Linked DNA regions of Xenopus tropicalis. The protein of the gene in region 1 interacts with the protein of each later gene in a pairwise test. Links are inferred from orthologs where the notes say so. Each region holds a gene or a part of one and is shown in the gene's direction. Other genes may lie near its edges. The genes, in order: rhoj, pak2 and wasl.

What was found.
Region 2: the proteins of rhoj (region 1) and pak2 interact in binary tests that used the Homo sapiens proteins (3 or more experiments, as listed by UniProt). The two-hybrid records come from large-scale screens. The link is inferred for Xenopus tropicalis from reciprocal best matches to the Homo sapiens genes RHOJ and PAK2.
Region 3: the proteins of rhoj (region 1) and wasl interact in binary tests that used the Homo sapiens proteins (3 or more experiments, as listed by UniProt). The two-hybrid records come from large-scale screens. The link is inferred for Xenopus tropicalis from reciprocal best matches to the Homo sapiens genes RHOJ and WASL.

Annotation. Positions count from the first base shown.
Region 1 is NC_030684.2:101,542,663-101,547,034, reverse strand, and holds the start of rhoj (rho-related GTP-binding protein RhoJ), read left to right. Parts: upstream 1-1,426; 5' UTR 1,427-2,074; coding exon 2,075-2,252; intron 2,253-4,372.
Region 2 is NC_030681.2:129,803,557-129,807,771, reverse strand, and holds the start of pak2 (serine/threonine-protein kinase PAK 2), read left to right. Parts: upstream 1-1,282; 5' UTR 1,283-1,596; intron 1,597-1,713; exon of another isoform or gene 1,714-1,848; intron 1,849-4,215. UniProt on the Homo sapiens protein: Serine/threonine protein kinase that plays a role in a variety of different signaling pathways including cytoskeleton regulation, cell motility, cell cycle progression, apoptosis or proliferation.
Region 3 is NC_030679.2:70,345,462-70,349,111, reverse strand, and holds part of wasl (neural Wiskott-Aldrich syndrome protein), read left to right. Parts: intron 1-1,939; coding exon 1,940-2,102; intron 2,103-2,938; coding exon 2,939-2,981; intron 2,982-3,304; coding exon 3,305-3,458; intron 3,459-3,650. UniProt on the Homo sapiens protein: Regulates actin polymerization by stimulating the actin-nucleating activity of the Arp2/3 complex. Involved in various processes, such as mitosis and cytokinesis, via its role in the regulation of actin polymerization.

The DNA of each region.
Region 1 (4,372 bases):
ACCACAACTGGAGCTGAAGCACAGGAACATCAAGGCAAGTAGCCACACAGAGCAGGATAGCTGGCAGGAGTCACAAGCATAGTAGAATTAAACTGGAACACAAAGACAATTGCAGTATTCAGAGGCAATCCAGGTTATACACAAGAGACAGTCCAAACTATAGTGCAACACAGAAGAAACAAACAAGAAGTTGAATCTGGAAGCCAGGAAAAATGGTTAAAACAGTCAGGAAAAACAAAACCCAACAGGTTCTAATAAGCTAACACTAACTAAAACAAACTGAGCAAATCACCTGGGTGGGGGCAGATCCAGAAACAAAAGGAGGGCTGGAAATAGGCTGTGGACCGAACCAAAGCAAAATTAGACTGGATTTCTGACACCATGTCTGTGTTACAAATTGCATATACAGAATATTCGTATGTTTGGGTTGTTATACCAATATATTTTAGTATATTTGGAAGCCCAGCTACCCATGTATTTACAAAACGAATGGAAAGCTGATACAAAAAAAACCTTCCAATACTTGCTAACTTATTTGTTTCAGAGTACAGATTAATTTGTTCATATCCTTTCAGCTCTGTACTGAGCTTTGCCATATATTTGGCTTTATCAAGCATTTTGTTTTTATAGCTTCTTTTATAATAACTTTTTATAGGTCAAGTTCTGTGTGTGCAACAGGTTTCTGGGTTTTTTTTTTGGAGGGGGTACAAAGTGCAACCCTAAGCTCCCCCTTCCCAGTTTCATATTTCTCACTCAATCCCCAGAGGGATTTCTATAATTTAGCCCCTACCTATGAGCCCAGATGTGTGCCATACTCCTCATAGTCCTATCATTATTCTACCACCAATCTCACCCCTACACACACACAATCTGGAGCCTGGGAAAGCAGATAAATGCAGCTGTCATGGTAGCTCAGCTCCCTGAGAGCAAGTTGTAGCACTCGAGGAGGGTATAAACAATCCCCTGGCCATTTAGTCTGAAGCACAGGGAGCCAAAAGTAAATGCATGGCTGTGCCTCTCAAGCCCACCTAAATACTTAAGTAAGTCTCAAGCCCATCTGAACCCAGCAGTATCTATAAATCTCTGACAACTTCTTATAGGTGGTGAGGAGAGGGGGTGTATGGTTTAACCCTGAGTTACCTCATTGCCTATAGCTGCAGAGGCAAAGTAAAGCACAGCATCTGCCATTTGAATTTGCATTTCCAGCAGCGGTGTGGAGGGGGGGTCACTGATCACCAGAGAAACACTAGGAATGTAAGTTTAGAGAAATCATTTTAGGGATGGGAGCCGACCTGCTACTATACCCCCTGCTCTGGCAGCGAGAGGGTTAAACAAAGAGCCTAAAAGTATGTGCTGTTCCCTCCTAGCCTGTAGAACAAAGCCAGTTTAATAGCCGCACTGAGGTGACATCATGTGCCTCTCTCCAGCCAGCTCTGTGTGCAGGATAAGGAACAGGAAGTCTAACTGTGGAGCCTGCAGTGAGACCTCTAGTGTTTTTCTAACTCCATGTCCTGGCAGAGTTCCTGTACAATACAAACACACACAGAGCTTCCATTGTTTCTAGCAGTTCACCAGCCCACTGATCCTAATATGGAATTCAGCAGGAAACCCATGATTTCCTGACACAGAGCAAACCCGAGAAAGACAGGGGGCAAAACTCCATTAAAATCTTCAGCGCTCCTCCATATTAGACCCTAAAACACAAGGGAAGGATGGAGTGGATTAACAGCAAGCTGTGATCTCTTGGGTTACACAGCAGGAGGGACACGTTCTATCCAAGAGGTTTATTGCATTTGTGTATTGCTTTTTTTGCACAGAAAATGTGTGCTGTGTGGGTCAGAATGAGATCATCCTGCAAGTAAGTGTAGCAATGAAGTGTCTGGCGATTAGCAAAAGTATCCCCACACACCACAGCCCTCTCTGAAACACAACCATGACCAGAGGATACTGCAACAGCAAATACAGTTTATTATGATTTCCTGAAATCTCACTCTCCCAGGAACAGAAACTTGAACTTGGAGTTGGTTTCATGCGCTGTTTTACCAGTGTGTAGCAGCCGCAGCAGCAGGGAGAAATGAATATGAGGGAGGAAAATGACAGCACGGGATGCAGCAGTATGAGCAGCATGAAGAGGATGCTCAAGTGTGTGGTGGTTGGAGACGGCGCAGTTGGCAAAACCTGCCTGTTGATGAGTTATGCCAATGATGCTTTTCCTGAGCAGTACGTTCCCACTGTATTTGACCACTATGCAGGTAAGGAAACACTACCACTGACAGCTGTGTGACTTATTAAGCGCCAACACATATTAAGGAACTAACAACATGGTCCCTTATGGTGGTTTAAGTAACTTTTATACTACCACTGACAGCTGTGTGACTTATTAAGCGCCAACACATATTAGGGAACTAACAACATGGTCCCTTATGGTGGTTTAAGTAACTTTTATACTACCACTGACAGCTGTGCAATTTACTGTTGTCTTGGCACCTATTAGTGAACTAACAGGCCAAAAGCTGGGAAGATATAATTATAACCAAACAGTGCATCCTTCTGTTTTTGGTGGGTCATTTGGGGCATAGTTTGGTGGCTATTTCCAAACAAGTCCTGCCACATTCAGAATCATACATTAAAGTAATAGGGATGGTACACCAGCTCTAGGCATTATCACTGTACAAAGTGCACAATTAGTATAACATTGTCCAGCTACTATGATGTGCCTTTTCTACTAGAATGTAACTTTCCTTGCAGATTTAAACTAGCGATGCTCCCCCAATTTACCTCCCTCCCCTGATCGCACCTAGGTAAGTTTGCGGGTGGCAGCCCCAGTGGGCCCTGCACACCCTGCAGATTTAACAGTAATTTGCACCCGTTTATATTCCCTAGCTTGTGCATTTGAATGCCATGCAAGCTAAGAGGGTTTGCCACAGTTTGGAACTGGAACTCAATCTCTATTCTTTTAAAAAAAAATTTAAAGAGCTATTTATCAAAGGTTGAAAATAAGAATACACTCTTTGATAAATACACCACTGATAAAGCAATATAAATTAAAAGAGAGTGGTGGAATTTAAAAGTAGATTGTAAACTCCACATGGCACAATTCCTGCCCACAAAAACTTCCTGTAGCAATAAATGGAGGGGTACCATCCAAAATATTGTTTGTGAACACTACTCTTATTGTAAGTGGGTCTGTTTAAGTATTGTGGGTTTTAGGAATCTGCATAAGATATTAAACATTACTTGGGCAAAAATGTATGAATGGGCTAGGGTACAGTTCCCTTATAAGGGTGGCACTGAGAACTGAGCTTGTACTCTGCCAGGTTTTTGAAAAATCATCTGTAATTTTGAGAGTATTAATGTGCACAGTGTATACAAATGAGAAAATTTAAACTTTTTAGTGTATTTACTGAAATGAGCTAAATTGTATTAGTATGATGTATATAGTGCTATTCTGAGACAACTTGTAGTTGGTCTTGATTTTTTTTATTATTTTGGTGGTTTTTAAAATATTTAGCATTTTGTTCAGCAGCTCTCTAGTTTAAAATTTTTGCAGTTATCGGGTTGCTAGGGTCCATGTTACCCTATCAATCAGAATACAAGGTAAACAGGAGAGTACCTGAATATAAAAAACGTAAAAACGTAACAATAGTAATAAAATTGTAACCTCACAGAGCAATTGTTTTCTCAATGCTGGGGTCAGTGACACCAATTTTTGATGCTGGAAAGAGGCATAAGAAGAAAGCAAATAATTAAAAAAAAAAAAATGAAGTCCAATTGAAAAGTGGCAAGTTTAACAGACAAATAGATAACAAAGTTGGATAGCAAATGAGAGGCACATGACTTTTAGAAATTAGTAGAAGAACTTGTTGAAAAAGTTTTTTTCCCATTTACACGAAGATAATTAAACTCCGAACAGTTGTCAAGGCATTTTTTTTATAAAGGTTTCTTTTTTCCTCCAATCAAACCTTTGATGAATGTGGCCAAAGAGTTCAATTTTTACTTTATCAGCCTATAGCATTTGTTTCGAAAAGGCCTGTGGTTTGTCTAGATGCTGTCATCTAAAACTTAGACTATGATGTTTGTGATAATGTTGACAGTAAGGCTTCCTTCTGATGATTGTTTTATGCAAATGTCCAGTTTGAGGAAGGATAGCCTCACCTGCACCCCCACCAAGCCAAGTCACAGCACCTGGGAAGTACCAATGGAAAGAGTGGCAGAAGTGCCAGGAATATTGTTCAGGCAATGAAGAAGAATTTCAATTGAAGTATGTGGTACCAAATTATCAGGTAGAGATCAGAGTTGAATCAAGATGTGGTCAGGATCAGGAGTACAGAAGTACAGAGAGGGATCACTTCACAAAGTGTGTAGGCCATGG
Region 2 (4,215 bases), on another chromosome or scaffold:
TCCGCTCAACCCCAGGGCGCTTCCTCCATGCCGCGTCCCTCCCCCGACACACCGCAGTTAGGATTCTTTTAGGAGCGTTCGCAGGGAGGGGGACGTAGGGTGTTGGGGGCCTCTGCGGGATGGGGGGGGGGGTGAAGAAGGTGGTGGGGGCCATTGGGGGGTGCCCTGGTAGGCCCTGAACTCCCCAGTCCAACCCTGTATACAGTATTATTATGCCACTGCTTTGAGTCGTTGCTATTTTAAAGGAGACATATCATATCAAAATTATGAATGTACCAGTGACTTCTATTCCTCTAAATATAGAAGGATTGTGCTTAAAAAACATTGTGTTTCTGACTGATTTATTGAGAAATTCCACAAAACCCCTCTAGTCCCACCAATCTGTTCCACTTCCTGCTGGCTGAATTCTCTGGATGAGCTGGGGAGCCGGCGGCTCTCAGTACCCTGCACTGTAGGATAGGAACCAATCAGCAGCTAGGCTGACCTGATAGGGAACGGAAGCCTGTCTGTGCTTGTGTGAGTGCAGGGCTGTGATTGGCTCTCCCCCTCCTACTGTGCTTCTGGCAGAGACCGTTAGTACACGCCCACCCTTCATTTGAAACACAGACAGAGAAGTGATAGGATCTATAGGGAGCTCCAATAAAGGGGCCATTGTTACAGATAGGATTCATTTTAAGCACAAAGGGAAACCAGTACCATATATTATTCATAATTGCCTACAAAATTAGGGTTTTTTCCATTTATCCAATATGTCTCCTTTAAAATCTCGTTGTTTACTATGTGAGAATGACAATAAAGATATATTCTATTCTATTCTATTGTGAGAGGGTCCTAAGCAGTGAATCAGGAGAAATGAACATGGGGAGCTACTGGGGCATCTTTGGGGGCACAGATCTTCCCTGCTAAAGGGCTGTGGGTGACTTGGGCTGGTACAGGAGCCCAAACCTAATATGCAGCATTTCTGCTTTCTGCCCTACTCTTCCCTTAAATGCAACCCAGACAATGAAGCTGCCCAAATACAGCTGTGTGGGGAGGGTGGGTGAGACAAGTGTAACATGCAGAAACCTGCATTCAACCCAAGGGCCACCTATCCGGCAAACCCCTAACAAGGCGTCAGCGCCCACTCTGAAAGCCAATAACAGCGCAAGCGCACACGCAGCAGGACTGCTACAATTTCACTGTCATGTTATTGGTAAGTAACGGCTCCTAGCACGCCCACACACTCCTCACACATACCAGGCATTGCATCTCATCTGACAAAAACACAGCGGCGTAATCCCAAACCCCCCTCACTCGCTGTGCGTACACGGCCCTGCCAGCACCCCCGCCGCCCCCCTTATGGTGGTAGCGCCCACGCTTCTCTGCCCGCCCAGTCTCCCCGCTCTGCCACTCAGCTCCTCCCTCTGTGACGCGCTTCTCACACAGTGGCGCTCAATTACTGAACTGTGACAGGAGCAGTGGGGAACCCAGGGAGGTGTGGCAACCCGGAACCGGAAAAAGCAAGGAAGAGGAGGGTCTGAGAGAGCGAAAGAAGGGGCCCAGTGGAGAGGGAGCCGGCGGAGGGGAACAAGTCACAACACCTCATTCACACACCCGGTAATAAGTAACGTGGTTTTCTGTCACACAGTTTGCACTGTCCCGTTACGTGTCATGTTATAAAGTTGGGGCGGCCTGGTGTGCGGTGTGGGAGCGGCGAGGCCGGCAAGCTGAGGGGTAACACCATGATGGGGATATTGTGAGGAGAGGAAATAGTGTGTCCGGGGCAGCACGCCAGCTATAGCCAATCCTTGGCTCCTATTGGGACCGAACTACAGCTTCTGGGAACCCGGGAACTCTAGTTTATCCACTGTCGGTATTCCTTGTATTCCTTGTATTCCCTGTATTCCTTGTATTTCTCTGTATTCCTTGTATTCCCTGTATTCCTGTGCTGGACCGGACAAGCAAGCACCCAGTGCTCAATTCCAACTCGCATCATGTGCAGCTGGGGTTTGTGGGAGTTATAGTATTCTGTACAATAGAATGGCCCTTCTTGTGCTTGGGGACGTGTCTTTGCTGTATAATCATTAGATAGGGACAAGGCAGGATTTTATTGGATCTCTTCCTGCTGTGAATACCAATGGTGCACAGTGGCACCCAGCTGCCAGGTTGGACTTAGTGGCTGTGAGCCCCTTCAGCAGAAACTCAGGGTATGAACCCCATAAAGAACTTTTTCAGACTAGTGGTTTTTGACATTTTGCAATAAAAAATTGCTGAAATAATTTCCATTGAGCTCAGTGTGAGATGCAAAGATATGTACCTACTGGGGCACTGCAACCTGCAAGGGTATCACTGTATGTATACAATACAATATGATATATGAGTGAGGCAAAAAACCTGTTTAGGCTGTGAATGTAACTTGGTGTATAACTGCTAGTCTGCACGGTCTTGGGGGTTTCCTCGGTTAAAACTTGCATTGCTTAATACCTTGGCATAACATGATTTTGCCAACCTGTCAGTTCAGTTGAGTCAATAATGGTACCAAGGCCGTACCTATCTAGTTGAAATGTAAATTGTTCAATTCAGAACAATGTTTTTATTTTGCAGAAATATAAAGAGATCATTACAGGAAACAAAGTTTAATGTCATTGGTGTGTACCCCTATTTAAAGTAACATTGCCATCCTGGGAAGGGTCCGATTGCGTCATTGGTGTCAGAAAGGATTTTTTTCCCCCTCTGCGGCAAATTAGAGTGGCTTCAGGTGGGGTTTTTTTTGCCTTCGTCTGGATTAACTAGCAGTGAGGCAGGTTGTATATAGGCATTATGGTTGAACGTGATGGACGTATCTCTTGTTTCCTATGTTAGGAGATTTGCTGATAAGACTGGAGCTACTTGCTTCCATGGCATTCTGGTAAATAAAATCAATATGGCACCAGGGTTACAGGTAGAATCCGTGTTGGACTGGCGGGCCAGGGGCACACTCTCCAAACTACTTTTTCTCAACTCCTCACTCAACCTCTATAAATCTGTTCTATTTAGTCTTCTTGTTCATATAGAGAAATAATGAATGACCATGAACTAGGCCAAATGGTAAGAAGTATGAGGGCCCCCTGACACCTGGGCCCACCGGGAGTCCGACACTTGGTAGAATGCGTAGGTATCATTATTTACTCTCAGCCAGGCGAGGAAATAAACTGCTCTGTAACATTCACTTTACTGAATACATGGTGTGTAGAAGTCTTTACCACTAAATGGAGGGGCAGAGTGAATCAGACAGCACAACTTTGAGAGCTTATCTAGCAGGGGAGCTTTTAGATTATTGTGATTTATGTAGATTACAGTTTGCACATGTCCAGTACAGTTCTTTTGGTCTTCTGTGGGCCTTGAATACAGCCAAGTGCTATATTATTTTGTTTTTTTGCATGCCAGAGCTCTAAATGAAAAATGCAATAATACAATAGTCAGTCATTTTTGTGGACAAATGTAGCGCTAACCGCAAGGGCTAATTTCTTCCCCCAGGTGGGTATACGTGCATTGCACAAGAGTTACAAAAATGCATTATTATAGGGACAAACTAATAGTGCTTTGATCACTTAAAGAGTAATACTAATAGCTGTGCATGTTATTTTCCTAATAATTAATTTAAAAAGTCAGTAATCTAAATTATTGTGCATAGTGAAACTGTAAGAAATATAGGCAAGTAAGATGTGCCTTTTAATGTTTAGAAAAGCAATTCCTATTATCTGCCGTAAAGCAATGTGATGTATTTCTCACTGTCCTTTTATCATTCCTTTGGACAGGTTGGTACTCGCACTGGCTGAACCCTTAAGGCGGCCATACACAAATAGATTTTGTTCTTCTTCCAACAAACTTTCAGATATCGAATTTATGTTTAAATGCAACAATCTAAAACTAACATTCAGATTGAAATTGAAGGATAAAGTCACGACAAACAACAATCGTATGAAAGTGATGTTCCTGCAATGCATTGTAGGTCACCAAAGGACATTGTCGGATACATGCATAGATTTTATCACTGTTGACTAATCAACCAGTCACCGTTGTATGAAAGTTATGGGAATGGGCCCAAACATGGTCCAAAAATCATACCATTAGATGGTTGCGTGTATGGCCAACTTTAGGTTTGTCACGCAAAGGCAGAGAAGGGTCTGCTGGATGAACCTTGTAGATATCAGTGGTGATACCCCTGCAGGCTTTCTTTGATTGACTGCTTACCAT
Region 3 (3,650 bases), on another chromosome or scaffold:
CCTGATTCTTCCATTCAGGCTGACTTTGTTTTTTCAAGTGCATTTCACTACATGCACTTGTATCTATCTATCTATCTATCTATCATCTCTCCATCACTTAATTCACATTAGGTCTGACCCTGTGTGTTGTGGCTTTTTTGGGCAGTTATAAATGAAGCTATACTTATGAGTGGGACAGATAGGGGGTACACACTGCAGTTTCATTAAAACTTATTATCAGGGTGACATTACTCTTTTACATTACATTTTAGGAAATGTTTAATTTGTCACTGTGCTGTATGTTCTAGGGAAGAGATTTATAAGCAGTGTGTTCATTTTAAAGTTTAAATATTATCCTGGAAAAACAATGAACCCTTTGTATCTTGTTCCCTTAACATGCTCTAAAAATGTCCTAACAGAAGAGTTGTGGCCCTGTGCCCATATTTCAGATAAGCTTTTTTTATAAAAGTTTGATATTTTACTGTTCTTTAGATTGCCTAGTCAACTGTGTAATTTTAGCTGTTTTTTTAATTAACACACAATTGCTAGTTATGTCATGTGGTCTTTTCCACATTTTGAATAACTTTAATTGCAAGCTTGGTTGGTGTGTAGAATGTGTAATTTGTTTCTAAGGAATTCTGTACTTCTAGTATGTTATAGGTTTACCTAAGAAACCTTTTAGCGGGTGTTTGTTTGTTTCTATGGTTTTTGAGTGAGAAACCTTACTTTTCTTCTTCTTTTCAGCTTACAAATGAAAATGCTAGTTGTTGTAGTCCTTGAACAACTGCGAGGCATCAGATGTTTTATTTTTTATTATCCTGAAGATGAACTAACACTAGAATGAAAATTGAATATAAGCTTTATCTCATGCAAATAAGGAACTTTCTAAATATAATCAATGTTAACATTCTCTCTACATGAAGGATTTCAATTTTGGTACATTGGAACATTTAATACATTTGTCCAGAAGATGTAATATAAGTAACTCTTTCTTTAAAAATAATCAACTGCCACAAATCCTGCATGTAGAAAGATGAGATTTGGGTTAGCGTTGGTTATTTAAAAAAAAAAAAAAAAGTAAAAGTACTGTTCCCAGACAAAGGAATAACCTGACAGGGGAATACTGAAGATTAACTTTTGATAAGTTTGCCAAATGAATGGTTCTTTACCCAATTTGGCCATTCACATTCTGGGCTGATTCTTTAGTTTGGACCCCAGGTCAACAATTGCATAATAGTTATCGGTCCAGCCTGCAGAAGAACACATCAACAAGCCCAAAGAATTTTTAAACCTACTCTGCTATCTCACCAGTTTTCATACATGGCCAGAAAGTTAATGATGTGGAGAAGCAAGTCAGACACTAATATCAACACAAAAGGCAAGCTTTTCACTCAGAAAACAGAGGTGTCCCTTATCAAAGAAAGTGAAAATATTTTAGGCTCTTTTCATTTCTTTTAATTTTTTAATGGTATGGTTTATTTGTGAGTAATATTTCATTAGAAAGATTTAGCTTGTATTTTAGCTGCACTCCATCTGTTTGCCTTCATAATAGTCTTATCACATGAACTTTGTATTCAGCAGCAGTACACTGGTTACAGAAAAGAGCACACCAAGTTAAAAAATTTTGTTAGTGAGCACTATGAGGCAGAAGGGCAAATCACCTAAATGTAGTCATACTTTACATTTTAAGTAGAAGTATATGTACTGAGAAGTAGTAACCCATAGCAATCAATCGGTGCTTAGTTATGATCTGTCTGCTTTGTCCTCAGACTAATGAAATATTCTGATGGATTGTTGTAGGGTTGTCTGGGTATTTAAGGCTGCCAAGTGAATTCTCTCCAAAATCACTTTATGTGCATATAATCTATGGAAAGCCACAGTTAACTTCTGTGCACTGTTTATTGCTGCCTTTCTTGTTCCAGCCATCGTTTCACTTACATTATACTTTTTTCCTTTCCAGGGCCAAGTCTACCAATGGCAACCGTTGACATTAAAAACCCAGAAATCACAAACAGATATAATGCACAAGTGAACAACATTCCATACAAAAATGACAAGAAAAAGGGAAAAACTAAGAAGAAAAAACTTACAAAAGCTGATATTGGAACTCCAAGTAACTTTCAGTATGTAATCTAAATGTAGAATAAAATGTGTAAAATAGCCTTTGTAACTAAATTGCTTTTACACTACGGGTATAATAGTCTTATGCACAATGCTTGGGACCTAGGGTTTTCTGGATAAGGGATCTTTCTGTAATTTAGATATCCGTATGTTAGTCCTGCTAAAAATCATGTAAACATTAAATAAACACAGTAGGATTGTTTTGCCACTAATATGGATTCATGTAGTTTAGTACAAGGTACTGTTTTATTATTACAGAAAAAAAGGGAAATAGTTCTTTTACTATTAGTTTTATTTGCTTAAAATGGACTCTAAGGGACATGGCCTTCCTGTAATTTGGAGATTTCTGGATAATGTGTTTCCTGATAAATTAGTACAATTCCTGTGGTACCAGCTGTGGGATCCCTTATTTGTAAGAAATCAGCTAAGAACTAAGATGATAAACCATAGACAAGTTAGAGTGTTGGGTAACAATTTTTTGGGGTAATTTCAGAGATTTTATATTTGCCTGAGGCCATGGAACATACCACTGAGGGCAGAGGTCCAAAGACCTTCCTGGAAAGTGCAGTGTTGACTTCACTTGAATTACATCATTTAGTAGAGAATAAAGTAATTTAGGCATAACACAGGAGTAAAGTTTTCTTTAGGAGTAGTAACCAATAGTTTTAAACTGGATTTTTTGATTACCGGCTTTATGCCCCTTAATTTCTTATTTTATTTTTGCTTTGTTCTGTAAGTATAGTCAATTATGCACTTCAGTACACATTACGTTATTATATTTGTATTCCTTCTGTGTGCTTATTTTGCTATCCTTACCGTGCTTTTTTAATTTTTTTAGACACATTGGACATGTGGGTTGGGATCCAAACACAGGCTTTGATGTAAGTATTTTATAATATACTGGAGGAAATACTTTTTTTCCAGTTTGTTCTTTGCCTTTAATGATTTTGTAATGCAGACTTCTCCTGTATTCTATACAAACCTGTAATCTGTGGCAGTGCTAATATCCTGTATCTACATTTCCTTCTTACCACATTTTCAACTTGCTGTTAATAACACAATGCCATGTTTACTGTATTTTAAACTAAATTTTGGCAGATAAGCAGGCCATATAAGCAGTTCCATAAATTCCAAAGCGAGTATCAATCTTAAATAATGTTACAATGGTTTAAATGATCTATTTAAATGATGTCTTTATTCCTAGGTCAACAATTTGGACCCGGAGCTTAAAAAGTTGTTTGACTTATGTGGCATATCAGAAGCTCAGCTGAAAGATAAAGAAACATCAAAAGTAATTTATGATTTCATTGAAAAAACAGGAGGTGTCGAAGCTGTCAAAAATGAGTTGCGCAGGCAGGGTGAGTTTGCATCTGTCAGACCTGAATGTAGAACCAATATTTATTCATATTTTCAGGAATAACTACCTCATAAGAAATAAATCTTCTTTTAGCCGGCATGTTTTTAGGTGGTCTGAATATTGGTAATTGTCACTGGCCCAACACATGGTGTGGTTTCAAAAAGCATTAGTTGTAAGCAGCAAAAGTGTAGTG